2 linked regions of the Styela clava genome follow. The protein of the gene in region 1 interacts with the protein of each later gene in a pairwise test. Links are inferred from orthologs where the notes say so. Each region holds a gene or a part of one and is shown on either strand. Other genes may lie near its edges.

What was found.
Region 2: the proteins of uncharacterized protein LOC120339853 (region 1) and merlin-like interact in binary tests that used the Drosophila melanogaster proteins (3 or more experiments, as listed by UniProt). The link is inferred for Styela clava from reciprocal best matches to the Drosophila melanogaster genes wts and Mer.

Annotation. Positions count from the first base shown.
Region 1 is NC_135250.1:10,607,534-10,623,350, forward strand, and holds the start of uncharacterized protein LOC120339853, read right to left. Parts: upstream 6,978-15,817; 5' UTR 6,860-6,977; coding exon 6,624-6,859; intron 6,175-6,623; coding exon 6,006-6,174; intron 4,458-6,005; coding exon 4,289-4,457; intron 4,159-4,288; coding exon 3,799-4,158; intron 3,264-3,798; coding exon 3,149-3,263; intron 2,659-3,148; coding exon 2,438-2,658; intron 2,056-2,437; coding exon 1,894-2,055; intron 1,552-1,893; coding exon 1,473-1,551; intron 917-1,472; coding exon 766-916; intron 1-765. UniProt on the Drosophila melanogaster protein: Negative regulator of Yorkie (Yki) in the Hippo/SWH (Sav/Wts/Hpo) signaling pathway that plays a pivotal role in organ size control and tumor suppression by restricting proliferation and promoting apoptosis.
Region 2 is NC_135252.1:22,930,354-22,946,415, forward strand, and holds the start of merlin-like, read right to left. Parts: upstream 7,213-16,062; 5' UTR 7,081-7,212; coding exon 7,004-7,080; intron 6,468-7,003; coding exon 6,332-6,467; intron 5,616-6,331; coding exon 5,484-5,615; intron 4,697-5,483; coding exon 4,613-4,696; intron 3,922-4,612; coding exon 3,797-3,921; intron 3,286-3,796; coding exon 3,183-3,285; intron 2,850-3,182; coding exon 2,565-2,849; intron 2,011-2,564; coding exon 1,897-2,010; intron 978-1,896; coding exon 901-977; intron 517-900; coding exon 471-516; intron 1-470. Other genes in the region: NADH-cytochrome b5 reductase 3-like, read left to right, coding at 8,816-8,833, 10,203-10,366, 10,771-10,930, 11,305-11,493, 12,300-12,410, 14,433-14,532. UniProt on the Drosophila melanogaster protein: Regulator of the Hippo/SWH (Sav/Wts/Hpo) signaling pathway, a signaling pathway that plays a pivotal role in organ size control and tumor suppression by restricting proliferation and promoting apoptosis.

The sequences.
Region 1 (15,817 bases):
GCAAGAATATGCCAGCTCACATTGGTTCTAAAGGGTTGCGAAAAAATTTTTGCAGTGCCAAGTGGGACATGATGAGAAAAGTTTGAAGAACACTGGTTAAGATTATACTAATATTCGACATAAATTAATCTGAGAGATTCGATTTTTGATCTTATTGACTCAAATTCATCCAAAAAGAGGTGTGCCAATATCATATCTCTGAACTTAAGATACATGGAAATAGGCCCTATCCAGGTAATAGGGCTATCCATAGTGTGATTGTAGTATTCTTTTCGAAACACACTATTATTATAAATATTATAATAATTATGGAACACGACTGGTATCGTAAAAATATATATGATAGGCCTATATCAGTATTATACATAACAAGGGTGCACACAATGAATCAAATATTCAAATCAATATATACTCGATAACTTGAATTCTATATTCCAGGGATAATTCACAAACATTTCATTTAAAAATTTTCATTTTGAGCACATAAAGTTCCCCAATATGACTAAAAATGCCTGCATTAAATTTATGGAAATTGTGAAAAAAAAGGGAAATCAATCAAATTATTGTTCATTCAAGGTTTCTGCATTTTTAAATTCTAACTCATTGAATAAATTCAAAATAATCGATTAATAATTGTACGATTGTATTACATTTAAATTTGATTGTTACAATAGTAGATATTTTGATATTGGTTGTCCCGAAAATTGAACTACCAACCAAAATTAATAAAAAACTCGTTCGTGTAGGTAAAGAGCAATTTCAAACCTGGTATCCCGATGATATGGAAGACTGAGGACTGGATGAATGACCGGATGTCTGTTGTTGATACGTAGAGTAATTGATATTTCCCATCAAAGCTCCATTTATTTGATTTGTCCATTGTTGGTGCTGGTCTTGATAAGGTGACGGACTTCCCCTGTTTTTGTAGGTTTAAAAACGTTTTAGTTTTTAGCGTTTTGTTGCTATTTGTCTAATTATAATTAAATTAGAAGTTCATTAAACGAGTATTTGTCAATTTTATACTTGTTAGATTATAATATAGTTTAGTCTACATGTGTCTCACAATAAATTCTGTTACGTTACAGACGTTACAGCTGTTGTGTTACTATAATTCAGTGAAGCGTCGCGGGCCGGAGGTTGCCGACCCCTGTTTTAAGTGTTCTCTCTACATATAGGTGGAATTCCGTATTTACAGTAAAATCACGATTTGTATTGCATATGGTAATGGCACATATAATGATTTTTCAGCTTAATAGAGCAAAAAGAAATTATTTCGAGCAGAAAATACCAGAAATTGGGATTAAATCAACCATACTGAGAAAGAAATTCTCCGGTTAAAAAACTTCAAGTAAAGAGTTAGTGGAATTCAAAGTAGTCTGAGTTAGCCCATAATCTGGAGTGAAACCTCATCGCTCAAATTCCTCATCACAACTTTAAATTAAAAGTTTAAACAAATAACATAATAAACATACCTATTTGTTGGATTAATATTCAACATCTGGTTTTGTGCTTGTTGAGATTTAGACAATTCTGGATACCTTGATGAATTATCTGAAAAATAAAAATAAAATTATAAAAACAATGTTTGTCCAAAGTTCTCAACTATTACACATTACAAATTTCTATAAATTCACAATGATTTCTTCAAATTTTCCATATTATAAAAAATGATAATATAGATTTTGGAGATTGGAGGAATGAATATTCTGTATAAAAATAAGAAATATAAAATATCTGCAAACCAAATATATTGCATGACAAATGTTAATTGTTTGGCTTGATAATAACTCTGGGAGAGACAATTTCGAGTATAAACATATTATGAAATGTTATGATAAAGAATGCATTTTTGGAATCGGGACATATTTGGGAGCAAAAATACAGTAGATTTACCAGAGTGTGTATAAGTTGGTTGGTCAAGCTCCTTCTGTTTGTTACGAAATTGCTGCGCTACTGTATAGCTGGGTGGTGGGTGATTCGGGGTGTATCGTGCCATGGCTGGGTTTACCCCAGATCCAGCTGATGATTGATACATATTGGAGGCAGATGAGGGTCCTGAAAAACAGAAGAAAGATAGTGGTTTCAATAAGATCAATTATTTTAATAAAAAACAACATGCGCAGGAATGTCGTTCGAATTATGTTGAATTATAATTCCACATTAGCGTTGAATGAAATGTGCTTTGAAAACTTAGAAAACTTCATGCACTACTAATACATATTAACAAAAAATTGACTTCACTCTTAATTTACTACCAGATCATAATCTATGTCAAATCAAAGTCTTATCTTTATGCAAAAAAGCATCCCAAAACTGGTGTTACTACATCTTTACCTGTAAAGTAATTGGCTAGAATGAATTATGGACTACAGTACACCTATGTAAAATCTAAGCAAAAACTTACTAATAAAACCCAAATTTTATTTTATTTACAAACCTTTGATAATGGGTTTATGGTTGTCTCTCATAACACTTGTCGAAGACATTTGCGGCACATTTTGTGGCTGGCGATTTGGATTCTGTCTTGTTGTTGGAGGCCGCATAAAATTCATTGCCTCCTGACTCGGAGTAGAAGGTGACATTCGCTGAACGATTTGTTGTACATGTCCAGGAACAATTCCTGCATTCACTGGAGGATTGGGATTGTTTGGGATAGCCCTGAAAAAAAAACCCAGAAAATTCTTCAGAAAGACCACAAGAAGACTGATTGACAAATAGAGGGCTTTAACCATGAGGGGCAAACCTGAAAATGCTCTTTTGATAAAATGACAAAAACAAACATTTTTATTTTTGAATTCCTGTAACTTTTTTTTATAGTTTAGCAGTGTTTAGCAAACTATTATTAGATACTAGCTTGAAAAACACCTATTTATTTGTGAAAATTTCGAATGAAAATTTTCCCCCAAATTTCAATATTCTCCATTTTATCTTATAACCGACAAAAAGCTCTCGTGCAACCTTACATTCAAACAATATGCCCTTATCTGATTTAAAATAAAAACTATGCAAGTTTGCTGGAGAAAACCTCCAAAAAATCACCCAGTGATCTTAGTTATTATAGATAAACTCCTTATTATGGTTGTCAAATACCATTACATATATGATAGGGTGGACTAATTGAGGTAATCGAGTCACTATGACAACTAACCTGTTGTCATATGACATCGGAGGAGGTGTTTGTCCACGACGATACTGAACATCCGATGTGTTAGTTGGATTCGTCATGAGATGATTTGGGCGTGGAAGTGAATTCATGCCCATGTCTATAAATAAAGAGAAATTTATTTGAGACTTTAGCAACCTCTTACAACGGAGTTGATGCAACAGAAAAACATTTTCTGCTATTTGGGAGTAAAATTTCACGAATAGCCATTCTGCTTGAAAACATATCTATATAGGATATGAAAATCAAAATTCAATGCAAATCATAACTATCCGAATTCAAAATTATTCGGCCATGGATTTCGCAATTTTTCAAATTTCTAAGTATTATTGCCACTGGCATTGCTGCTATTTGCAATGTCTTTAGATTGATGATGAAAGTAAGAACACATTTTGTTAAAACATTTCCAGTTTTCAATTGCACTGCATATATACCTTATCAAATAATAAGATTCAAAAACAGAATAAATTTTAATTTAGATGATTTTTATTTGGACGTAGGACAAATTGACGTGGAATAAAAAGCAGTCTCAGATCAAAACAACCAATATCCACTTTTTAATCCCAATAATTTTTGTTCACAATTTGTATTTCAACCTTAATTTTGGAATCTGGTAACAATTCTGACATAATTACCATAACCATTATCACTCGCGGAACTTTGACGTGAATATGGAGAATTGATGTAAGTTGCTGGATTCCCAGGATAAGCAGGCGGCTCTGTGGCAGGTGTCCTGTCTGGTAGTGGCACATACTTCCTATGCAATTGTTTTGTTGGATCCAACTGATTCTTACTCGACAATAATTCATACTCAGAAGCAGTGATTTTATGGCGCAAGTTGTTCACTTGGCTAATTTTGCTTTGAAGTCCATTGTGGCCATGAACTCCGACCGGACTGTCTGCTCTGAGGCTAGCTCCATCTGGACTGCCACGATGCGTTCGACTGTACGGATCGCGCTGCAAATGCATGTTCGGCTGAGGCACGTGGTAGTCACCTAAAACAAATAAGTTATGATTATAAACAATTTTACAAACATTTAAATTTTATGAATTAATATTACACTAGAATTATAAAAAGTTGAATAAAAGGGGAAAAATATTTTGAATGAAAATTCCATTTCTTACTTGTATTGTAATCTGTCTGATACATAGGTGGAGGAATTCCAGTATTGTTATTATTATTGGTGGGATGAAGGAATTGTTCATTTTGCATTTTACGACGCAATATCAGAATCAGTTTTTCTCTGGCAACCTCAAGTGTTGTGCAGTTTTTCGCCACATTTTCAGCAACAGACTGTAAAAAGTAAATATTCTTCAATGCCAAGCAGCGTTAAATAGAGATATCCTTTATTTAATCTTGCAACATATATGAAAATAATAACACAAAGCATGATCTATCTAATTCCTAATTGCATTTTTTGTATCCTACGGTAATTTTTTTACAACCAATCAGATAGTTTGTAAACTTAGTCAATAATTGGCCTTCAATTCAATACTTCAAAATGACTGATAATTGCTGCTTTTTGTGCAATCAATATTTGTGAAAAATTGTGTACCATATATAGATGATCACAAATAATAATATTATCCAGATTTTAAATTCTGAATAAAAAAAATTATATTTATATAAAAATAAAAGATATTTTATAGGTTTGCCCCAAAATCAGTCAATTATAATGAAAAATAATTTTTCCAATCATAAAACAATAAACTATATGCAACCTAAATACTATTTCAAACTCCAATACTGTATTTTTAATTATCTGTATTACACAAATTAATCACATTTAATAATACAGAATATAAGTATCGATAATGGAATCTAGGAATGTTGCAGAGGCCAAATTTTTATAGATAAATGCACAACACAAAGCTCAATTTATTCAAGTTCCAACATAATAATGATTTACGATACCAGTTTATTGAGATTGTGAAGAGCCACAGACAAAAAATTTTACTACATGCTTTTATAGAGGTCTGCTGGCAGATTGTGTAAACAATGGGGTGACATTCCACACATACTTTTGTAATTACTATCTTTATTTTATTTATCTACTGCCTGAAACCAGTCCAATCCTCACTTACAATTATTCAAGAATGGCCAAAGATTGAACATAGTTATGAGACACAATTATATAAGGCCCATATGATATTTATAGATAAAAATTGTGGTATTTCTTTTGTTTGCAGTTGGCTATATATTCTTTTATTTCAAAAATCACATCAACATTTTTTTGCATTAGCAGGGATGTAAAAATAAGGTGTTTGTGTTGATACTGGTGTAATGTTATATACATAATGAAAGATTATATAAAAAGAGTACACCATGGCAGAAGTTGGAAACTATAGGGATGCCTATATCAAAATAATAATCTATTGTTCAATATCATATCTTTATTATACAATTTATTTGTTCATATTTCTTAATATAAAATTGATAATAAATTGTGGATAGAAGTTGGATGAACAAAATATTGAAAGCCTTTTTTAACACAAAAAATCAATTGTAATTTTTCATTTTAAATGCATTTTCCAACCAACAATATATAGATAATGAATATGGAAGATTAATACTAAATACAGTACTCATTATCACACAAATGACTTCTTTCAAATCAATCAGTAATCACAATAGAAAAATATATATTTTGCCGACATAAGGTACAACTCAATAAAAAAGCTGAATTACACTGGCAGTCGGCAGCCTGTTGCATCGAAATATTAATATTTTTCCACAAAACCAATGCATTACTGTGCCTAATTGACAACATGTGTCCAATTTAAAGGCCTCATGAAAATATTATAAATTACATATATATAAATTATATTATAAAGTACTGACCTGATCAACATTTACATTCAATTCCAAAGCCAAATTCTGGACAGATTCTGCGCTGATATCTGAAGGACCGTAAGGAGCAAGACTATCTTTGATTTCCCGAAGAGCACGGGCATGATGGCTTCTATCCTCTTTTCGAGTGGTGACTACTCCTCCTCCAGCACCTCTATTTCTAAATAACATAATATTTTACAGAAAAACTAATATGCTGATCTAATGCTAATGACAAACAACTTATGTCCAGCCACCAGTAACTGGTATAATAACTGATGATAAAATAATTAATTCTTCTTTGTTGCTGAAACTTGTGTTATTTATTAATTAAGAGCATTGCTTTTTCTACAATTCAGACAAAGGAAAAATTATGTTTGATTTTTTTAAATTTAAATATGATTTAGGTTAATGACATGAAAAAATCATGATGAAAATAAATTGTTTAGCAGAGTTAAACTATGCAAACAAAGTATATGAAATGACAGAATTAAAAATAGGTAAAATAAACTTCTGAACACAAACACACAAAATTGTGCGAAGATTCAGCAGCAGATGAGGCAGGAAAATAAGGATTGCAAATTTATCATAAAATAAATCTTACAAATATAAAAGAAAAATTTAATTTACCGGCTGGATTTAACTGAAGCTATCGCATTATCAGAGGCTTCGGAATCCGTTAAACTTGGTCTTTTTCCTTTTCTTCCCTCTTTCTCAACTCCTTGTACTTTTAGTTTTCCAAAACTTTTTGACAAGTCTTTGAACGATACTGAACTTAAATTATTATTTGGAAATGAAGCTGGACGATTCGCTTTACTCCTTCCAGAGCCATCGCTCCCAGAGTAGTTCCCTTGTCTAGACGTCATATCCTAATATGGGTGTTGATATGAAGATTCTTCTATAGGATTTCAAGGCATTTTTACACGTCAATTGCATACTCATTACATTATATCAAACATTTGTTAATTCAATATGTATAACTACATAAAATGAAGTGATATAAAAATAATTTTTTTATGGAACGTTACAGCAATAACTAGTTTAAAGTAAAAAGTCAGGTGTATATATCATAGGCTACTCAGCCAGGCAACTGAAAAAGTGGCTTTTATCGGAACAGACTGTGACTCTAAAGGGGTCTTGCAATAGAGTAGGTACTTCTGAGGGTAGGTAGACATTTGTAAAAAAAAGTAAGATGGTAGACTTTACCATTCTATGAGATCTTAAATTGAGAAAATGATTTCTTTTATGAAAGTTCATGGAAACATTCATACAACAAAATGATTTTGCCTAAATCTACATGTATGATCAATTCCTATATATCCCTATCCAATATTAATAGCACATTAATGGTGGAAGTGAAACAAAAATTATAATTAGTGAAAAGAAACATCAAACATGCTACAGCACCGGAGATAATCATTCACGACAGACTTCAAATTAATTCTGTAATGTACCGTAAATTCTGTGAGGCGAATGATTGCAGAACTCCTTGCTGTCATACATCTGCTTTAACAACCCTTGTTACAACCTGCTTTGCATATTGTAATACATTTATGACTTCTGTCAACATAGCATTCAATATAGATTTTAAAGTACTATATACCGTACTTTATCTTATAATAGAATAAGTAATTGATAATGACCCATATAAGTTGATAGGAACTGAATTTATTGAGAATGTCTTCATGCGATTGCGATTAAGTTAGCAAGTGTGATCGCATACCAAAGTGACACCGTTGTAAATTGTAATCATTCAACCTGTGTTATTCATATGCATGCTCTGTATTTTGAAATACATCAAGACGTTGACAGTAAAATTGACAATTCAGTTTCCAGAATTGCTAATAACTTGTCATTTTATTATTAAACTGCTGTAGTCAATTTAATAGGATATCTTCATACAAGTATAATTTCCTATGCCAGGAAACGTTGAGTGCTCTTAATTATGTATGATCATTTCTACAAAATCTAATAAATTTGAAATTGATTCGAGCGCTTCAAATTGAATAATATAATATACAGTAATCAATGTTATTTATGGATTGTTTTACAGGGAAACTTGAGGAGGACTCGCACTAAATTTCTCACTGTTTATAGTAGTCTAAATGCTAAAAAAAATGCGAATTGCTTTGTCCACATATTTCTAATCTGTTGATGAAATAAGGGAAAATAATATTAAACGCATACTACTAATTTCAACAGAAAATATTCATATACCGATATACAGCATTGATATAACCACACTATAATAGCCATTATCATGAAAATATGAAATCGCTTGAAACTCTTGTAGACTATGATTTATAATATACTAAAGTTAAACAAGAGATAGGGCTCATGTGAAATATATATATGCACTTATGCATGTGCATTATTTTGTATATTTTTTTAATTGATATTAAAATTCATATTAGTACCTAGATTTCGTCCCGCGGACTTTTCTGACAACTTATGGAAGAATGGTTTGAGGTATTAAACTGTAAAAGTAGGTAACTTCCAATGCCTTGCAACTCCAGATGAAATTTTCAATTATTTATATCTTGATTAAATTACGCCATGTTATGCTTCTTACAGTTTCAATAGTAAGTCCTTTAATAGGCTATGTACGGCCCAATTTATTTTTTAACAAAAAAAATCACGTTTAGTCAAAAAATGACAAATCGTTTTCAAGCGCCTCAAATCGTGAATTCTACCCACGCTATAGTCGTCCAAATACCGCCATTCGATAGAGGGGGACATCAATGCAAATGAAAAATTAACTGTGAGAGACATCAGTATACATAAAAGTATTTTTCGTATACGTTGTACTTGTCACAGTCACAGTATCGCATTGGGGTGCTGGAACTTTAGCGTAGATTTGAAAATAACAAATTTCTTTTGGTTTGATTGGATCAAAATCGGTTGAATATAAACATGAATAGTTTTCTGTGGATCTTAAATTCAGGGCGTCAAATGTTAAAAATGAAAATTCACGAAAAACGTTCTCGTTCGATTTGACAATTTCAAACTCCTCCACCCATTTAGGATGGAGGCATAGTTCAAATAGAAAAATTGTGGGAGCCATAGTCTGTTGTATCAAAATAATACCGAGTAGATATAAATAACATAACCAGCAATAAATAAAGTAATTTAGAGTAATTAATGCACGACTGTCTAAATCGATCTAATTGATGATGCGATCGACCACACACATGCTAGATAATATTCGGTCTTACTACTTACTGAATACAGCGCGAAACACCGCAAAGAGCGCAAAACAGCGCGAAACAGCGCAAAACAGCGCGAAACAGCGCAAAACAGAGGGAAACAGTGTGGAAACAGCGCAAAACAGCGCGAAAGAGCGCAAAACAGAGGGAAACAGTGTGAAGCAGAAAAAAATTTTGCAGTGAGTTCGGGGCACCTTGTTTTGAGTTTGAGTACCACGGCAGCAAATTAAAAACACAAACCAACGTATGTAGCCAGTAATGCTGTAATGGCAGGTCTGCCCCTGCTGGTGACACATTTTGGGTACCATAATTTAGAACATTTTCCACATGGATATGGTTGGCTTTAGGGTTAGGGTTAGATAAAAAGGGACCTCCAGAAGTATGTGCACCAAGATGGCGCACAACCTGAAAATAGTATATGTGTGTGTGTGTGTGTGTAGCGGATTCAGGTTGTGCGACATATTGCTGCACATACTTCTGGAGCACCAAAAAGGTAGATAAAATTTCGCATGATGACCTATAATCCGGTACATAACCTTGTAAATATGCCGGAAATAGCGCCATAAAACCATGGCGAGAGGCGCCGTGGTTCTTTCGTGGCAGGAGGTGGTAATGACTGCGTCTCCTGTTTTGCGCTGTTTCCCTCTGTTTTGCGCTGGTTTCCTTCTGTTTCGCGCTGGTTTCCTCTGTTTTGCGCTGTTTCGCGCTCTTTTGCGCTGTTTCGCGCTCTTTTGCGCTGTTTCGCGCTCTTTGCGGTGTTTCGCGCTGTATTCAGTAAGTAGTAAGACCCGATAATATTCATCTGGCGAATATATACAATGTTAAGTGTATAAGCGCTATCAGAACAATAACGTCCAGATGTTAATAATCTTTGTATTATAAGTGATATGACAAATTATTCCTCGTGTTTTAGACTAAATTTTGATCAACTTTTACATGATTTTGTTATTTTCCCCTATTAGGTGATGAAAAACTATGATCGGTAAAATAGACGATCAAAAGTTATAAGACAGCGTTTAGTAAATAACGGAAACAACTTGAAACGACCGCGCCGTAAATCTTACGATTGTCCTCATCGACTCCACATGGGTTGAACATCTGCCATTTACGCAACGATGTGAAGTGCGTTGGTCCTTATTGTAGTCAGGTGGTGATTAAATATCTGTAAATCTACGGTATGTGTAAGTTATATAACTTATACCTATTTTCAAACAACTACCAATGCGACTGAAAGTCAAAGGATAGGATTTACATATTTATCCCGGGGGAGAGGAAAGGCGAACCATATGGCGAACCACGGCCTGTCGTCCGGTTTCCACTCCAAGTCGGGTATGGGATTAGTTATATTGTTTGTTTTCGGAAGCATGGACTTGGTACTGGTACCGGTCTGCCGGTAGTGGAGGAAGCCGTAACCGACCAGCGGTTACGTGAACCACCCAACGACGGCGAGGAGTCCAGCAATCCTCTCGCACATAACCATCCCTGCATGGGATTCGAACCTGCGAACCCACGCAGAGGAATTAGAGGTGCGGTGGCGAGCGTATTCCTAACGCTTAGCCCGTTGAGCCACACCGCCGCGCCGGTGAACCATTTCTGCATTTTGTGCTACCCTACCTACAGACCTAGTGATCGGAAAATTTCGAGGGGCAATATATCTGTAAACCCCTCCATTTGCCCTAACACTGTCCGACTAAACCAATATCAGGCAAACTGTGACGTCTGGACGTTGTGTCAGTCTGTCAGTTACGGTAGCGCATTACCAGTACAGCAGTAAGTAAGGGTACCGGTACGGTTACCCTAGGTCAGTACGGTAGGTCGTGGGGTCCATATCTTATCGTCCGTAAAGTAGAAACGCTTATTGTTGAAACCTATCAAACTCTACACCAAAAGTGCATCACTTTTCCCAGTTTATTCGTCCAAAAAATGTAAGACTAACGATAAGCCTGAATGAAAGGCAGCCCAATACACCAGCGAAGCTCCGCCATTTTTCACATACCATCGCAGTGTATCCACTTTCGGCCCTACTAAAAACAAAGCAGAATGTCTCTGGAATGTGACCGAAAACTTTAAATATTTTGAAAAGCGGACATACGCAAAAATCCGTTAATTATATCATACATTATACAAAATGAATGATTTATGCCATAATACTTAGAAAATCAGGTTAATGGTTAATACGATAAAATGGTTAATACGATAAGGCGTCATATCATGTCAACAGTGGTTTTAGCAACGCATGATCAACGTGCTGCTGCACAGGATTGCCATATTGACTTTTTTAACGCCAAATTTAACAACTCTGGCTTTTCAAAACACGTTTGGCGTCAGAATTTCCGATTGGCTTTTTATGACTATTCTAGTGTCTATTGTTAAAATCTTACGAATTACAAGATTTAGTGTGCAACAATAAGCCATTCCCTCGTTTCTATAGTTTTGCGTGTCAGTTTTTAGCTACCGGTATGTTTCCAGAATATAGTTGTAGATTGAATAACTTAATTGTCATAATGTCTTTCGAGTAGCTTTAGTTTGGTTACAGTAATCAAAATTTAGTCTCACGAGCGCTGCGGTAGACTAGACTAAAATTTGCTATTGGTACGACAGTACTTGTAAGTGGCACGTGGTTGGATATTTTTTTTCTTCTTAAAAATGATGGTTTAAAAATGTAAACCAGTTTATAATCGGAAACACTGCAAAACGATCTCAAATTGAGCATTCATTAAGCAACTTTTTTCAATAGTAATCCATAGGGAGAATGTTTTGAGGTATATCCTAAGTTTAAGTAGAAATATACAGGTATATCACATACTAATGCGGCACCGTACATTGTATAGAATGAATTATGAAATATTACTGTCTGCCCTAAATTTCTTTTTATTTGGTCTTTTGATTTTTATAAACATTTTATATAGACGTCAGCTTCTCTGCATTGTGTCGGGTGTACATTCTAGTTCTATCGTTCAATAATTACTGCTTAGTTTCAATAAACCCTCCACCATGCCGAAGTGAAATCATCATACGATAGCAACCGAAAATACAACTTTTGATGGGAAAAGACATTTGTGAGACTGACTAAATCAGGGATCACCAACGCGTTGCCCGCGGGCACCAAGTCGCCCGCGAAGACTATGGGAGTCGCCCGCAGGTCCGTTCCAAACTAAGATTAATAACGGCACTTATGAGGAAGCTACATCAATTAAATTTTGTCCCGCTATTCTTGTATTAATCACACTTATATGGAAACTGGGAATGTCACTATATTAATTATTGTAACCATCAACCTGACTCATCATTTTCACGATGAATGGGAGGTGGATATATTTTTATCACCATGAAAACAGCCTGCGTGTGTCTCATTTGTGGGGAGATTGTAGCGACGGCAAAGCGAAGAGATATTTTACATCTTGTCACGCAATTTACCGCGCTAACTATCCACTGGTCAGCGCAGTACGGGCAGCAAAGCTCGCGATTCCAATCATACAGCAATTATATTTTACGAGGCCATTGTTTGGTTCAACCTATCTTTGTGAATCAACATTTTTGACATAAACTCAGGATAGGATGGGATTTACATATTTATCCCAGGGGAGAAGATAGCCGATAAGACGGCTTAACCATGTGGCGAGCCGCGGCCTCTCGTCTGGTTACCATTCCATGTCGGGTATGGGATTAGTTAGTTATTTGTTTTCGGAAGCATGGACTTGGTGGCAAAGGAAGCCGTAACCGACCAGCGGTTACGTGAACTACCCAACGGCGGCGAGGAGTAGAACAATCCTCTCGCAAATAAATATCTCTGCATGGAATTCTAACGTGTGAACCTAACGCTTAGCACGGTGGGCCACACCGCCGCGACTCACTCCACCAGGAACAAATACGGAACACGCTCCACTAAGGAAAATCTGCAAGACTTGTCAGAGTTACAGTGTCAAGTTACACGCCGGAGTACAACACTCTGCAATATTTGATAGTACAACTCAATTTTGAAATGCAAGTGTCATTGATAGAAAATTATTTGCTACGTTGTGATAATTGTTTGATTTTCTGAAGAATTCACTAATCCTATCAGTGACTCTACTTGACTAAATACCAGTAATTATCAATATGAAGCTTAATCGAGCAAACTGACTTTTTTAGAAGTGTACATTGAATTGGTAGCCCGCAGCTTAATCTGTAACCAGAAAGTAGGCCTCGGCCTCGAAAAGGTTGGTGACCCCTGGACTAAATCAACTGATGGGTCTAAATCAGCATAGTGTAAACCAGTGGTTCTCAAACTTTTTTAGTCCCAGAGCCGCATTTCAAACCTCAAAGTTATGAAGAGCCGCACACAAACAACGCAAGGTAAAATAGCAACAAACCTTAAGCGCGTATTTAAAATACCAAGTCATCGTAACAACAACACACGTAACAACTGGGGATGGGCAAAATATTCGAATAATAAAATATTCGAATGGCATTTTACCATTTGAATATCCGGTACCGCGTGACCTGCGGCGCTCTGCTTGGACACCTAACTCGCGCGTCTCTAACTCAACCGTGAATTGTGTGAGATTTCCCAACGGCGCTCGCTATCAGAAAAAAACGTCAAATTTGAAAAGTCGTTGTCTTTGCGTTATGGTGTCATATGCCTATGGTTGCACTTAACGTATCGTTTCAATTCCATATTTTGCAAAAAAATGTACCGACGTTCCGTAAATTTAGAAACGTCGAACCAGATTAGGTATTTAAAATAAATTTCCCAGATTTTAAACTCCGCATGATTGGTGACATGTCTTTAGCCATTTCTTGCATTACCGAACATAAAGTTAATTAAAATTAAATGTTAAAATGACTTTCCGGCGTTTCATTGTGAAAAAGGCGATTTTAGGTCGTTAGAAAACTCTAGTTATATAAATAGCATGGATTTAAAAATGACAAAAAGTTTTTTCAAAAGCTGGTATGAGTTACTTGTGTGAGGAACACTCATGAAGTTGTAACCAGATAAGAAATGTCATGCCCTACTCCCTTTAAAGCACTTTGTATTAGCTATTTAGTGATCCCTTCCATCCTTGGCCAAGTAATGTTTCGAATATGTAAACATTTTACTCGACCATGAATGGCCGTTGAGCCAAGAGTAGAACGTAAAATCAATCGTGAATTTCGTTGTAATAATGCACACTGACTCGTTTACGAATTGTTGCGTCTATTATCATCGAAAATGATTACAATTGTTAAATTTTGAAGCATTTGGGCAGTAATAATTAAGGAATGACACAATCGAAATCATTAAGGAAGTCGCTATTTTAAATCAACATTCAGGGTTCACGCAATCGTAAATTTGCTAGGTTTATCTATCTAATACTAAAATAACACGAACACCATGGAAAAGCATGAGAAACTCAAGTATCATTTCAATAAATATCTGCATCTCGGTTATCGTTCACTTTAAACAGGCACGGTTAATTTACAAGCGGTGAATTGGAAGACCAAATCCAAGGCAGAGGATTAAACTTAGAATAAAATTGATTTGGTTTTGAAATTATCCTTTAATGTATTCAACAGCTGTCTCTGATGTGAACGCAAGGGTATACTAGAAATATGAAAACTTCGATATTCGGCGACCGCTTATTTCTGCGAAAAACGAGGACGGGCGGGAATATAGAATACCAACTTTAGGATATCGCCACCGAAACGATCGCGGTGACAAAGGCAATCAGCGATTATGATGAAATTAACCATCAACCAGTAAAAACAAAACGCTTTATTGCCGAATTTTCAATGTTTCTATCAATTTCCAAATAGAGTATCGACCTCCAACGTTCTGGATTTTTGTTATGTATAAAAAAAAATTATTCATTATTCGAATATTCGGTAAAAATATTCAAATTATTTGCTTCGAAAAAAGATTCGATTTTGCCCACCCTAGACTAACAGCCATTTAACTTGGCTTTGATTCCTAATAAGTTTGTCAAAGCGGGTCGTAATCGTGAAGGATGCAAGGTGCAATAGCTGCTTGAGATGATTGCCAGATATTTCGGGACTATTTTCGATTACTGGAACAGAATTAAAATGCTCTAGAAATTAAAATAATCATTGAGTTATTTGATTTATACATAATATTCGAAAATGCGACAAAAACCCAAAATCCACGAAAGCAAGCCAATGATTACAGCCATTTCTAAAATCTTTCCAAGTGAAAAGTGTCCGAGCGGCCGCGAAAACGATTACTGTTGCGTCACTATTGCATCTTGTAGATTAGTCAACGCTACACAAATAAACACGGGGGAATCCATTCGACTAATAACTAATAGACTTTCGCATTTTAATTTCAAGTCAATGATTAGTTTATATTGAAAAATTTCCTTAGAAAGTAATTAATTTTTAAAGCATTAACAAGAGCCGCAGGAAAGGTTGTTGAGAGCCGCATGCGGCTCTCAAACCCTAGTTTGAGAATCACTGGTGTAAACTATGCAAGTCCACCATTGTGCCAAGCGTTTCAAATGTGACAAATCATAAGGGTTTGTACTTTGTAAAATTGTTGATTTTTTGTGTCTTGACTAAGCTTTTTTGGATCACTGAGATTTGGCAACACAGCTGGTACATCCCGTTTTTAAAGCGCAGCATTTCTCTCTATAACAGCGTTTC
Region 2 (16,062 bases), on another chromosome or scaffold:
ATCAGATATTTAGCTATTTTTATGAAGCATATTCACATATTCACTCTGGCTTGGTATAAGCAGCCATTCATAAAGGAGGAGCTGCTTAGGGTTATATTTATGTGGGAAACTTTATGGGTGGCTATTTCCTAGCACTATTCAATCTCAAAGAAGGACAATTAATTTGGTACTCCCGGAGTATGTGTACCAGGTTAGGGTTGGGCCATAAGTTTATTCAGATTTTCCTTATTTTAGTTCTATTACGAGTTCGGAGACTGTCTGTGTTGGTCAAGTGAATATATCCCTGCCCATATAGGTTTCAGTCCCTTTACACAACTTGATGTAAAGTAGGCGAACACAATTAGTGACCTCCATATTGGTACACACACTTCTGGAGCAACATTAATTGTTCCCAAATTTATTGTTGAATTCAACATCTTTTGAAAATATATATATATATATTTAGTGCAATTCTGTGTGATGATTCTTACCAAAGCATCTAGGGCAGCTTTACTCTCATCTTGCATTTCTTTCAGCCTTCGAATGAAAAAAAAACGTTTTAAAAAATGCGATATTTTTGATTTTGCTTAAAACAAGGGTCTGGATAAGACTTCACCATACTAGGCTATTTATATGGTTGATTGTTATTAGATAGTTAATGGACATTATTTTTTAGACAGATGGTTAAAAACGGTGGGGCGCGCCCCACATTAAGGTGTAGAAGTTCATTTAAAGGGGTGAAGACACCCCCTCACGAGACGAGCAGTTCACAACAATTCTTGCTACAGCATCCTTGCATTATACTCATACGAATCCACTAGCGCAATAACATTGAGGAAAAATTGGGAGTTGGTCTCGCATACCCTCTACTGATAGTTACATCTAGCTAATGATTTCAATTTCTGAAAATGTAAAACTAACTTTCGTTCCAATTCTTCCTTCTCCATGAGTATTTTCTCCCGTTCATCTTTTTCCCTGAGAAGTCTCGCTCTTTCCATCTAGAAAATAAAAGCACCAGAAATGTGAGATCAGTGGTTTCCAACCTTTAATGGTGCGTGCCCCCCTGTTTATAACTCCAGCGGTATTCATTGTGTTATTTTGATTGGTGGATTCCAAATCCCATTATGTTAAAACAATTCAAATTCTAAAATGTTATACCTTAACATCTAGTCATCTGAAATTTTAAATCTTGAACTTAATAATAAGGGGGGAGTTGACTTTGATGACCGCCCGGTCGTATCACTCCCGCCTGTTTATATCAAACTAAATCATCATGTGTTATTATATTTAATTACTACGATAATTGTTCTTTTATTTTGGTTGACCAAAAATAAAATCTCTCTCTCTAAGGGTAACTCAATTCATTTTCCAACTCAAATATACCTAATCTCTCACACTAATAGGATACAATTATCCAATAATAAAAATAATGAGACAATTAAACTTGTGGTGGGATTTAAGTAATTAAGCATTCCTAATGATTGCAATTAGGACGGATTAGCTATAGCAGCCTCTACTAAACTCTCAAGAGAAACATGTGATTCTTAAGCACAAGAATTATTTTACTTGTGTGAAGTGATTATGAGTGCTCTAAACTAGGCACTTCACAAGATGCAACTAATATGTAAGAATGGAATATTTCAACATTGCCCTATTTATTACACCTTGGGTGGTTGGAATAGGATTTGTACCCCAAGATTTTACCCTGCAGTTCCACCACGGTCAAGTCTAATGCCTAAACCAGGAATGTACAACCTTTCATACAAGAGGGCCAGATACAAAGAACTAAATGAACACCATTTAAAACTGGCGCTTCTCCTCAAAGTATACAATTTCGCCTTGTGGGACAAAGGTTGGATACCCCTGGCATAAACCCCTAAGCTTGGTTTGAATAAACCTGTATTAGAAAAAACTGACCTGTTTTCTTGCTTTTTCTTCTTGTGCCTGGCTCTTCATCTGTTGAATCTCCATGCTGTCAACTTTACGTCTCTGCATGAAAAGATCATGGTTTCCTCTGCAGAGTTCTAAGATCTTGAAATGTAAAAAGAAGTACCGGTAAATGACTTTTTGTATAGAAAGAATGTTTAAAAATGAATCAAATATCCGAATGCATAAAATTAGACTTCTGATCAGAGGTTTACTTAAGTTTCTGTTGACTATACTAGAATAATCCACATTTTTATATTACAGTAGAACCTCCAGAAATATGCGCACCAATATGGCGCACAACCTGAACATAGTATGTGTGTATCGGGTTGGATTTAGGTTGTGCGACATCTTGGTGTGCATACTTCTGGAGCACCAATTTTTTTTAGGGGTCGGACGACATCGTTGACCTTGTAGTCTTGCCGGCCCCCCTGATTTTATTTCATGATTGCTTTTTGTATCCATTGTAATCTGTACATTTTTGATATACTTGAAAATAAATTAGTATCTCTCTCTCTCGCATTCAAAATGATTTATAATCGGCTCGCCGTTGTGGCGAATCATGCTAAGCGTTAGAAATAGGCTCGCCACCGCACCTCTGATCACCCTGCACGTTTTTTTTTCCTCGCAATAAAATTACTGGAACACATGCAACTCACCAATTTATTTATCCCCGGTTCATCAGTGAAAAAAATGAAATCATTTTTGTTCATATCGATCATATCAGCGGGTGATGACTCTTCTGCACTGGTAGACTGCGTTCGACGAAGCGTTGCGGAACGAGAAGATGGATTCTGTTTTATTGTGAACTTATTATCGTTAAATAACATGTCCGATAACTCGCTCCATTGAAACGATACGATTGGGTGCAGTTGGTTTTCTTTTTCGTATACTGATACGGATACAGCATTTATTCCAAGCCATAGTGATGTTCCTTTGCGATTCTAAAAAAATATATATTTTCTTTGTTATGTTTCATATAAATTTCATTAGAGAAAATGCATGGATAAAGCGGCCACCAGGAATGTCCAAAACGAATTTATTATTCAAATATCGTTTTTAGTGTTTATAAGAAAATCGGGCATCGTGCACACATCTCAGTGTATATTTTGAGATCTCGGTGGCACGGCAATAAATTCATGAGCAGTTTGCGCTGTAATTAATCGTATTCATCCTCCAGTAGCGTTTTTTGCAATTTAGAGCGTATAAAATAGTTTTCAAATATTAATCAGCATCTATCACAGATTTTGTCGTTACTGTAAAATAAGAAATCCAACCTTTATACTAAAATATGAAACTCCACACATCTCAAGATCTTGTGCTATCTTCAAATATTCTAGTTCAGCTTCATCTCGTGTCAAACCTCTATGTTCTGTGTACCTGTGATTAGGAGATAACTAGTTCGGACATCGATAATGGGGGTTGGAAATAAAGTTTTGCTAATCTGAACTTCCGTAGTAATTTTTTTAATAAGGCATTTTACTTCTGTCCATGGGAATTAGGAATAATCATACACATACACGTTTTATTATGACTAAAAATAAAAACTACATTTTTTTTTCGAACATACCAGCTTCATACTCAGGGGAATAGCCAGGGTTTGTTTTGAGGTTCGAAGTATGTCATGAAATATAAATTACAAGCGATACAATTACAATATATAAAATTTCTTTTTTACCTAGCCACAGTTAAACAAAATGAATAAATCTTCTAAAATTAACATTGAGAGGAGAAAAGTGTAACTGGCGATATCAAACATTCCATCGTGTTATAATAGTTTATGTACAATTTTGTATCATGCTATGTGTTGCAAGCTCGAAATGAGAACGGAGTGGAGGCAATTGCACCCACAATAAATTCAAAACAAAAAAATTTGAAGTTAAAAACTTACCATGAAGTTATTTTCTCCTCCCACATCGTCTCAGACATTTGAAATTGGTCAATGACACGTTTTGGTAATAATTCCTGAATCTCAACGAATCCTGGTGCATGGATTTCAGGATCATAATCACCATACTGTATTGAAAAAAGTCAATCATGTACTATTTGAATATCCATTTTGGGCATTCCTAAGTCAAATGACTCAAACCCTGTATGGCATGACATATTGAATTCATCAAACATTAATTACTTCTAGTACACTGTGGAAGTGGAAACAAAGACTTGGAAATTTTGATACAAGCTATTGACTGTCTTGAATTTGAAACCAAATTATGAGATACTATTCTGTTATCTGATATTTTTCTTGGTTTCGGTTAGGTTAGGTTAAGTTATTGTCTCATCTCTCTCTGAAAGGTTTGCAGAGAGATGGGACTTTCTCAAAGTGCTGCAAACGAAGCCCGAGGTTCCGTGAGACTTTTGGCTAACTTTAATAACTATCCAAAGAAGCAAAAACGGCATCAATAAAATTTGACAACTGTAGCGTTGAAATTTGGCAAGAAGGCGGATGTTCAAATATGACTTTATTCATAAGTTTCTCAAAAACATGATTCAAAGAATAACAATGTATTTTTTGTTTGTGTTTATTTTAATAAATATATTGTGGGCTCCATAAATAAGAGTCAACCTCTTCATGGGCTCAGTGAAATCGAAAATTTGAGAAATCCTGATCTAAACCAACTTATCCTATCCTATGCCAAATTGAGAATAAATGTTCACCGATGCAACAAAATACAAAATCTATCAATATATCAATGAAAACACGCACCTTTGCTTGAACAGCGAACGAGGCAAGCAGTACAGATGCCTCTGGAGGGCAGTAAAGATCTTCAGACAATATTAAATGCTGAATCTGTAAATATAGTCCAACATTAGAAAAATAAATTAGGAAGGGAATGCTGAACGGGGAAGTATCTAAACAGAGTGGTAAACTGGATACACTACGATATTAGTTATGTTAAAATATTTATGAATATGGAATATCTAGAACCAACCATCTAGCACAGCCACACAAAAAAAATAGTTTTTCGATATACACAAGAAATTAAAAAATTCTCACAATGAAAAGTCTTAGCTTAGCTCGCTCAGCCTTATAGTATTAATAGATTAATAAATGGACAATTGATAATACTAATTAGTTAATTAATACTAAACTATAGTCATAATTAATTAAATAAAAAGCTAAAAAAGAAGTTGGAGATGAATTTTTATCAACAAAGAACCAAGAGATAAAGCCAAAATGATTTTTTTTACATGGCAGTGAATTTTGAGTCAGAGTCGAGTGCAAATGTTCTACAATCAAGTGAAACAATATAGCATTAAGCAATAGAACCATGATTAGAGCAAAACAAAAGAGCTATGCTCAAATATATGGACATGTAGCCACACATAGTGGCAAATTCGGATGACATCATAGCACACAAAAAATGAATTCCATGCAGCTCACCGGTATATTTGAAATAAATGGAAGTACCGAAATAGCTTTCTGGCAAAAAAATCAATCTACAACCACTGGAAATTTCAAAGCAATTGGTCCAGTATCCGAAGAGAAGTGATTTTTTATTGAGGAAAAAAACAAATAAGAATAACAACAAAACACTAACACGATCCATAGGTCTTATCCAATAACACTATATTACCTGCAGAAAGAACAGGTGTCTCGTGACCTCTTGTATAAGTTCATCTTCCATTGACTCAGGATAAAACTTCGCGAGAAACTTCAACTCAAGTTTGTCGCCGTTCACTGGTTTTGGAATTGCATGATTCAGAAGCTGAATATAAAGAATGGATTAGTAAACGAATGACGAACAAATAGTAAACAATGATTGGTAATAATATCCCTCATGAGAATGTTAAGAAAATAAATCTCTGAAAATCTCTCGTCCATGGACTATCGTTCGATTACCATTCCATATGGAGTATGGCAATTTTTCATAACTAGTTATTTGTTATCGATACATGGACTTATTTTTATTCGGTTTTTGCCCAGTGAATACTCAACAATTGAGGCAATTTTTCAAAGTGGATTTTGGCACAGAAGACATCATTTTAAAGTTAGCTGCAATCCAATAAAACCAAAAATAGATCTGTATGAAAATAAACACTTTACGTCTTTACCTATCAAATTTCATCTGTGTGAATTTATATAAATAATAATAATTTATATGTTCTCTCATTGTGAAAATTTCTATGGTGGTTTAGGAATAAGTCAATGCTGTCACTTCAAAGTGAATTGTAAGTACTCCCCAAGTATGTGCCCAGATGGCAGACACTGAAACGTAGTGTGTGTACCAGGTTAGGGTTAGACAATAAGTTTATTTCAACGAGTTCGGGGAATAGCCAAGTGACTCCTGTGGTATTTGTACCTGAAATTATATCCTAACCCTAAACCTGGTACACATACTACGTTCCGGTTTACATACTTCGGGAGTATTGAATTGTAGCTCTTCCTCAACAATCTCGATAAAAAAAGAAAGCTTCTTGTCACCTTTTTGTCAAGTTTTATCCATGTAAACCTCTTCTTGACATCATGAAATGCGAGACCAAAATACCAAGTTTCTCTCAGACCGATTGTCCGACATATCAAATCAAATACAACTTGAGCTTTCACTTGATTTGAGACCCTAAAAGAATATATTTCAATAGGATTGAGATAAGTTCAGATATTCAATGGTAATAAAATAAGTCGAAATTGTTACAAACTTTACAACTTACTCAAAAAGTTCAAATTTACTAAGCAATCTTAGCATTCAAAGTTTGCAAAATAAAACAGCTGACAATAATGATCTTATGATGAAATAAAGTGTTCTCATATTTTATTAAAAAATGTCCGCATCATTTAAAATGAAGCAGCAAAATGACTCATAAGTTTGAAAAAAATATAAATTTCATTAAGGTTCTAACGGCTACCATCTTTAAGTTTTGAATATTTGGAATCGCTTGGTTCGTTAGTTGTCCAGTAAAGTCGAATTTTCCAACACCAACAATTTAACCAAATGATTGATAGGGTGAATAATTAGTAAAATAATATTGTGGGACCCCAAGAAGTATGCGCACCAAGATGGCGCACAACCTGAACATAGTATGTGTGTACTGGTTAGGTCAGGTTGTGCGACATCTTGGTGTGCATACTTCTGGAGTACCATATTGTGCTTCTTACGTAAATTCTAAATCCGCATCCAAAGTGGATACTCTGATGTTGATGCTTTTCTTTTTCTTGAAGAGTGGGAACGGCATCTCTTATAAATGATGTTAGTGACATCAATTCAGGAATAATTGTGAAGCGATTATCAAGAAGCCATATTATTTAAACTAAAATTAACAAATGTTATTTTCACAGACTCTGAAAAAATGGTGGAAATACTGGAATAGAGACTTATACAGAGATCTATCAAATAGAACACCAACATAGTTTAGATTCAACTGTTAGACCACAGAGCTACTGGAGTTGAAGCGATCAAAGTAAAATGAAAAAAATAGGAATAGGAAAAAAAATAGACTTACTGACCTGGTTCGGTCAACATCCTGCAGTTTTAACTTCAATCTGTCAGCACAGCAGTAACCTGCTATGTCTTATCAACCTCAGAATTGTATTATAGTATTATCATGGGTTCATGTCAACTATCATAAATAGGATGGCTTACCCACTTTGCGGCCACGACCTATTTGCGGCCATCAAACTAACGAACCATGACGATATTCCTCACGCGCTTTCGTCCACTTGTCCCTCGTAGCTCTGGGAAATTACACTAAAATGCATCCACAAACAAAAAAGTTACGATCGAAAACCCGCCCGAAGAAAAAAAAACGAACCCTTTTTTCATATCGCCAACTACCGGTACCCATTGTTCCTTCAAAAAGCTTGAAAATCTATACAAATTTAAAAGATAAAAAGATGAAACTTGGCAGGTCAGCAGGTGGGTAGAGTTGTGTTTCTTTTAACCATCTTTAAAGTTTTGCGTTCCAACATTTAAAGGAGGGGGAATAGGGGGTGCACATTTCAAATACGTCGATAATATCTTTGTCGACCAATTTGCGATCACCGTGTTATTGTCTGTTTGATTGCTGTGATACCGGTACCGTACCGGTACGGCACTTTATTTATATTTTGACGAGTGGTGTTCTTAAAATATATGACGGTCAGAAATGCAATTAGGCTATATGTTTAACTTTATAGAATATATTCAGACATTACACATTTCTTAATTAAAAAAAAGACAGTTAAAAAGGAAACTTACTGAAAGTTGCTGAAATACCGGTAGCCTACCGGTAGTAATTCTCTATCTATCTAGCCTTTGAATTATTACAATATTGTCTCATTATCAGCGAAACTAAAACACAAGACGACGGCAAGTGTGAAAGTTTGTTTATGGACACAGTACAGCAGTAGGCCTACAGGTCAGCAAGTTCATCACCTGATCAATGTCAGACAACATCTTATCTAGCTATCATTCAATACGATATGATTTGAAACAAATCACAAAATTAAAAAATTATATCTCTAAAATTCAAAACTTATCAGCAGGCTAAAAACCATAACGACGTGAAAACAAACGCAAAAGAGTCAAGACAGCAAGAGGAAACCTGAAAATTTCCAGAAATAAAATAAATCGCTGATATACTTGAGTAACTTTCAGACGAGATTGACCCGACCTGAACTCGTGACCTTCGAACCTATCATAACTTTTGCACAACTATCATTCTTCAACGACTTTATCCATTTTCTTCACACAATTACTCGTACCGGTATTAAATTCATTGTGCAATAACTAAAAGAGTGGCTAATATTAAAGATTGATATCTTATCTATTTATTTTATTAGAAAGTGACGCAACGCACTGCAATTTGAAATTTTGACTCGATAACTTCGTTGGTGTTTGCATTGCAGCGGTTCTTGTATTTGCTTGATGCGAACGTGACCTACCGTACTGAGTGTTCGTTTTTTTTCGACACATCTAATCAGGATTGCCGTATGAAGCCTTCTCCAACAGTGAGCGATATATCTATTACATTTTAAATGGCTGGTACCGGTATACCGTAGACTTTTGCCAGTTAATTGATTAAGCAAGATAAATAGGGAAATGGTTTCTTTCTTTTCAGTTTTGCATTCGGAAATTAGATCATATTAAAAAGATTTGTATCTGCAATTATCGTTCTGATATGCAGTTTTTGCAATTCTGTATTTGTGAATGTGAGGCCCTTTCATAAATCCTTTTGCTGTTTTGATTATTCCATGTCCTGATGTCTGAAAATTACACCAAAATTCAAAGTAGATATTCTTCCTGTAAGACAATAAAATCTTCTTAGTGGGGGAATTCCTCCCCAGTTAGAATAACCTGGCTTTAAAAATATAGAAATGAACCTATTTACCAACCATCTATGTCAGTGAATACCAATCTTTTTCATTAAATTCCTCCTTTCACCTATTTTTAATGTTTTTTTTCCTTCCTAGTTACTCATAAAAACTAAACATAAAAACCCTGCCTCTGCTGCTCTGTGTTATGCTCAAGTCGCACTCATACTTTCATACAGTTTTGGTAGTAGAATAAGTAAGCGATATCAATTATGATATTAATAAAGAAATGAAGAATATTAGTAGTAATACTAGGACAGCAAATTCTAAGCAAAATTTAGGATAGGATAGGATTTACATATTTATCCCGGGGGAGAGGAAAGCCGATAAGACGGCTCATCCATATGGCGAACCACGGCCTCTCGTCCGGTTACCATTCCAAGTCGAGTATGGGATTAGTTTTACTGTATTGTTTGTTTTCGGAAGCATGGACTTGGTGGTGGAGGAAGCCGTAACCGACCAGCGGTTACGTGAACCACCCAACGACGGCGAGGAGTCCAGCAATCCTCTCGCACATAACCATCCCTGCATGGGATTCGAACCTGCGAACCCACGCAGAGTGATTAGAGGTGCGGTGGCGAGCGTATTCCTAACGCTTAGCCTGTTGAGCCACACCGCCGCGCCGAGCCGATTTCTGCCCAAGAATGGCGTGGCGGTGTGGCTCATCGTGCTAAGCGTTAGGAATACGCTCGCCACGCACTTCTGATTACTCTGCATGGGTTCGCAGGTTCGAATCCCATGTGGGGATGGTCATGTGCGAGAGGATTTCTGAACTCCTCACCGCCGTAGGGTGGTTTACGTAACCGCTGGTCGGTTACGCCTGCATCCGCCATCAAGTCCATGCTTCTGAAAACAAATAACTAACTAATCCCATACCCGACATGGAATGGTAACCGGATGAGAGGCCGTGGTTTGCGATATGGTTAAACTGTCTTATCGGCTCCCTCGGGATAAAGATGTAAATCCCTTCCTGATTGGGTAACTTTGATCTATGTTCTTTATTCAGATGAGTCTTCTAGGATTCTCAGTTGTGGGGATTTCAGTTGTTTGTGCTGTTGCATACTTCATTTGGCAGCGAAAGAAAAATCAACCAAAGATAACACTTCTGGATCCTGATGTCAAATATCCACTTAGATTGGCTGATAAAGAAATTGTTTCTCATGATACAAGGTATTCACATGACGAAAAAGACATTTGACTAACAAATATTGTTAATTTTAAGCTTCTATTTGTGCTGAAATAGGTTCTGATACAGAATATATTCTTAATTCGTCTTTGTAATCAGGTGCATAGCCAGGAAGTATCATACATCATAAGGGGGAGGGATGTGAGATTTATACTTGCCAAGTCAGACCGTATCTGCTAGCCGGTCAGGAGGGATATTCTGGGTTTTAAGGGTTTTCAAGCTATGAAATAAGGCTCTGCATGATACAGAAGAAAAATGCTTTGAAAATCTTTTTTTTTTTCATTTTAAAAGATTGGCTTTGACCCTCAACCCCTCCCCCCTCTGGCTAAGAACCTGACACCCTTTCTTGCATGATCTCGAAATAACAAAATCCATTCGCTTTCCACAGGCGTTTCGTGTTCACTTTACCATCATCAGAGCATATCCTTGGTCTACCTATCGGACAGCATATCTACTTATCAGCTGTTATCAATGGAAAATTGATAATTAGGCCATACACCCCGGTGACATCTGATAAAGATAAGGGACACATGGATCTTGTTGTCAAGGTAATGTTAATTGTAATTTTATTACTTTACTGCAATAAGGTAACATCGATGATATGGAGATTGGAGACTCAATCCTGTCACGAACCATACTGTTGTGTCATTAACTCGGAGAATAGACGATGTTTGTAGACAAGGCTGAAAATCAACATGAAACAATGGGAGCCACAATACAGTATTCCACATGAGACCTCTCATCTGGTTACCAGTTAGTGTCGAGTATCGCATGGGAATATAATATAAAACAGTTATAGTGCCCACTGACAATAATTTTGCTCAGAAATTTAGAGCCTTCTTACTTCCGAATTAGTGCCAATAACCTTGCTCTGAGCTCATTCTCTCTATAATAAATTTTTTTTAAATTTTTTCTGATATAGGTTTATTTCAAAGATGTTCACCCCAAGTTCCCAGAAGGAGGAAAAATGTCTCAATATTTGGAAAGTCTCCGCATCGGGGATACAATTGATGTTCGAGGGCCAAATGGGCTTCTTATTTATGAAAAACCTGGTTTGTTTTCCATCAAACCTGATAAAAAGTCGGAGCCAATGAAAAAAAGTGTCCGAAAAGTAAGATTCTGATTTACTTGCACTGTTTAAATGCTGGCATTTCATAACTGGTTCAGGTTCTATTAAACAAACCGTCAAGAAAATCTCATTTTGGTAGTTTCCTAGGTTTTTATCAACTATTATACTGAAAATAAAACAAGTCACTAGATATCACAACTAGCATGAGGTATGCTCAAGGACGTGGCAAACTCTTCTGCTACCTGGGCGAACTTCTGGTAATGATGCTCCTTATACCTAACTTCAAAATAATTCGGGTGATAAACAAATTATAGATGTTGTTATACATAAGAATGAATAAATTAAGGGTTAAGTAAGAGTGAAATGTTTGTATTATTGTTAATTAAATCATCAAACTAAGCAACAGACTCACATGTACAATTTGCTGCCGGGGCAGCTAGCCCTATGAGTATGACCCCCTTCAGACGCACCCAAGGGTACGCTAGCTAGATAACATAAATCATACTCTCTCATGTGATTGACTAATATCATCTTCAGATTGCTTACTTCAAACCTGGATGACCTTGCCAACCAAACTGTTGTCCCTTCTAATGTCTTTGCACAATCTGGACCATTATTCATTATGAGGGACTCCTTACCTAATATTTTTTGCGCAGGTTCTTGGACAAAGGAAAACTTGTGCACTTTCCCCCGATGTTAGATTGAGCATTGAAATGAATCTTCCTATGTTTCTGTCCCGGGGAAGATTTTAGTTTATTAAACTTTATTTTCACTTTGTGGTTATGGTGCTATGTAGGTCACATTGGATGTGAAACTTCAAGTCTTATTTTTTGTCAATTATCTTCTAGATTGGAATGATAGCAGGAGGAACCGGGATTACTCCAATGTTACAGATCGTACATCAAAGTCTGACAGATCCTGATGATTCCTGCTTGCTATGGTTGCTGTTTGCTAATCAGGTAGGCTTATGCAATTTTTGTGCAACATCCATGCATTCTAAACGGTGACAGCACATTTGAACTCACGTAAATTTGAACCCATACATTTGCATTCGTATATCCGCGGGTTCAATCTATATGAGGGTGCTAAAATCCATAAGTTAGGGTTAGTATGGGTTCGAATATCCGTAAAATCAAAAAAATTTCCATAGGTGCAATAGTATACAGGTGCAATTGTTGTGAGTTCAAATTACGGGTTCAAATGTACGTGGGTTCAAATGTAATGGAACCATCTCGAACAAGTAAATGGTGAACTATTTTTTTACTTATCGATTTTAATCGCTAAGTATGTTGATAGGTATTTGTCTGTCTGTATGTATGTCTGTTTGTCTGTTAGATGCACGCGATATCTCACGAAAGCGAGATTGAATCTGCTCCAGATTTTGCATGTGCATTCATCTTATCTCGGACCAGAGGCCTATTGATTTTGGGCGAATTATGTCGTATAATTAGCGAGTTATCAATCAATTATTGATATAGTGATCTAGATTTTTGTAAAGCGAGAGAATTTTGAGACCCGCCGAGTGTGTGTGTGTGTGCGATGCGCAGTGCGCAAGTTACAAGAGCGGATGAATCGAAACTGCAGTTTCTGTTTTGGGGGATCCCCTAACTATCGATCGATAAGTCTTCGGTTTCCAACCGATATTCTCGTTATACAGTTGGTAACTGGACAAAGGGTCTTGCTTACTATTTGATGAATCTGACCTATAGAGGTTGAGACTCTGACAGCAAAGAAAGACAAAGTCTGGTCATCTCGGTCAGGAACTTGGCCACGGGGGTCGCGAAACCCCTGCCTTCCACACACACACTTTTTGAATGTAAAAAAGAGCATTTTTTGTAGCTTAAAACGCTTTTTATACCCTTAAGACCCTTAGAAACCTACATTTTCTGGCCTTCGATCAGACCCGCTGACTGTTATTACTTATCGATCTTAAGATCGGTAAGTATGTTGATAGGTATTTGTCTGTTAGATGAACGCGATATCTCACAAAGGCGAAGTAGAAAGGTGCACTATGGAGTAAGAGCGCTGTTTTGGGGGATCCCCTAACTTTCGATCGATAAGTCTTCGGTCTCTGACCGATATTCTCGTTACTTGTCTGTTAGATGAACCCAATATCTCACGAAAGCGAGATTGAATCTGCTCCAGATTTTGCTTGTGCATTCATCATATGTCGTACCAGAAGCCTATTGATTTTGGATGAATTATGTTGTATAATTAGCGAGTTATTAATTAATTAGTGATGGGACACAAGGTGTCACTATGGAGTAAGAGCGCTGTTTTGGGGGATCCCCTAACTTTCGATCGATAAGTCTTCGGTCTCTGACCGATATTCTCGTTACTTGTCTGTTTGTTTGTCTGTTAGATGAACGCGATATCTCACGAAGGCGAGGTTGAATCTGCTCCAAATTTTGCATTTGCATTCCTCATATCTCGGACTAGAAGCCTATTAATTTTGAATGAATTATGTCGTATAATTAGCGACTTTTTAACTAATTAGTGATGGGACACACGGTGTCACTATAGAGTCATGAATAAAAACTGCAGTAACTATGCATTATTGGACACGTCAGTGGACATAACGATCGTTTTGCATTTTATGCTGGCACTCTTCTTGTTCGTTGACATGTTTTTAAAAAGTCGCTTTTCTCTTTAATTACTGGACCAATCGCTTTAAAATTTTCAGTGCTCAAAGATCAAATTTTTCGCTAGAAGGCAATTACTTTTATTTATTTCAAATATTCCGGTGTGCCATGACGTAATCCGAATTTGCCACATGTCCATATATTTGAGCATAGCTCTCTTGTTATATTAGGTTTTGGTTATCTTTATCCCTGTCACCAGAACATTTGCGATTGAGACGCATACCCAATTCTAAGTTATCCTCTTGTTAAATTAGGTTTTGGTTATCCTTATCCCTGTAATCATAACATTTGCAATTGAAACGAATACCCAATTCTAAGTTATCACATTCATTTTTTCAGACTGAGAAAGATATTCTAGTCAGAGAAGAATTGGAAGAGTTTGTGGCGTCTTATCCTGATCGATTCAAATTATGGTACACGTTGGACAAACCAAAAGATGGTAGGTTACAAATATAGGATCTTATTTGCTACAAGCATTAAGCCAAAAATTCTAAGTAACTCATTGATGATAAGGCAAAATTCACTCACAGTAATGGAATGGAGGTGGACTATTCAGAATATCAAAAGTATTTGAATTCAAAACATTTGGATGATAGGATTTGGTTTGAACCTTTTTTGATTGAATTCCCTATTTTACTCCCACAGGCTCGCGGCCCACCAATGCTAAGATTCCCTTTAATTTGATTACTGTCATTTCTTATGAAGAACACAAACATGGTAAAACAGCGTGTCATGGCCTTGTGCAGTGGTTTCCAATCGGGGGCCTGTGGAGCCGTTGAATGGGGGCCACAAGCAGGGTTGTCCAAAACGAATCGAATATTCGAATGTATTCGAATATCAAAGTATTCGAATACCTTTTTGGCTGATTTTCGAATAATTCGAATAGTAGACACTTTTCGCCGTAAACGTGGTGTTTCGTTTTACGGGAATCTTCAAACGACTTTTTACGCTGTCTTACGTATTGTAATGACGATGAAATAGAATCGGCACTTTGATTGTTTATATTCTGTGCGACCTTACGTCGCATAGCGTTGCGACACATTTGCACGTTTGCGTGGGTGGACATTGGCGAAATGTGTCTACTAGGCTTCTAATTTACAAATTCATTTCCATTACGTCGAAAAATTGACAATTACCATATTTCCCGGCTAATAAGTTGCTTTTCTAGGCCATTGAGATAAAGCGATTTGTGACCCTTTCGTTTTGCCGATTCAGCAGAACACGACAGGAAAACACAGCTGTGAAATAACCAGTGGACGTACAGTGTATTACTTATCACATTTCAAAATTATTTCAACATTCGGGTTAATAGGTTGTCCAAAATGATTGTCGCTTTACAACTTAAATTTATTAGATTCGAATATTTTGCGCAGCACAAAATCATCTTAGTAAATAGTTCAATACCTTTAAATACAAACCAATGGCAACCGTTATCCAAATCAGTTCCCAAGAGCGGGATAAAGTATAAATTCTTTTTCCGACTTGTGACAATTTTTCGTGAGTACAAAATAAGAATCAAAAACTAATTATATTCGGCACAATATCACGGCAATCTGTGGACATAAATTGTGTGGCAAACTCGCGATTAATATTAATTTTGGATTCCTATTTTCGTATTTTCCAAAATACAACGGTGATCTGTGGAATGTGTGTAAACTACCCCATTATAAATAGTTTTTGATTCCTATTCTCATATTTATAAAATAATAAAAGTATTATTACTCAAACATACAACGGCGATCTTCGGACCTAAAATGTGTGGTAAAGTTCCCGGATATAATTAATTTTTGATTCGTATTTTTGTACTCACGAAAAAATTGTCACAAGTCGGAAAAATAACTCATACTTTATCCCGCTTTTTGGCAAATAATTTGGATAATGGTTGGTATTTAAAAGTATGGGCGTTTTACTAGGATGATTTTGTGTTGCGCAAATATTCAAATCCATCCTCGATACCACTATTGCCGTA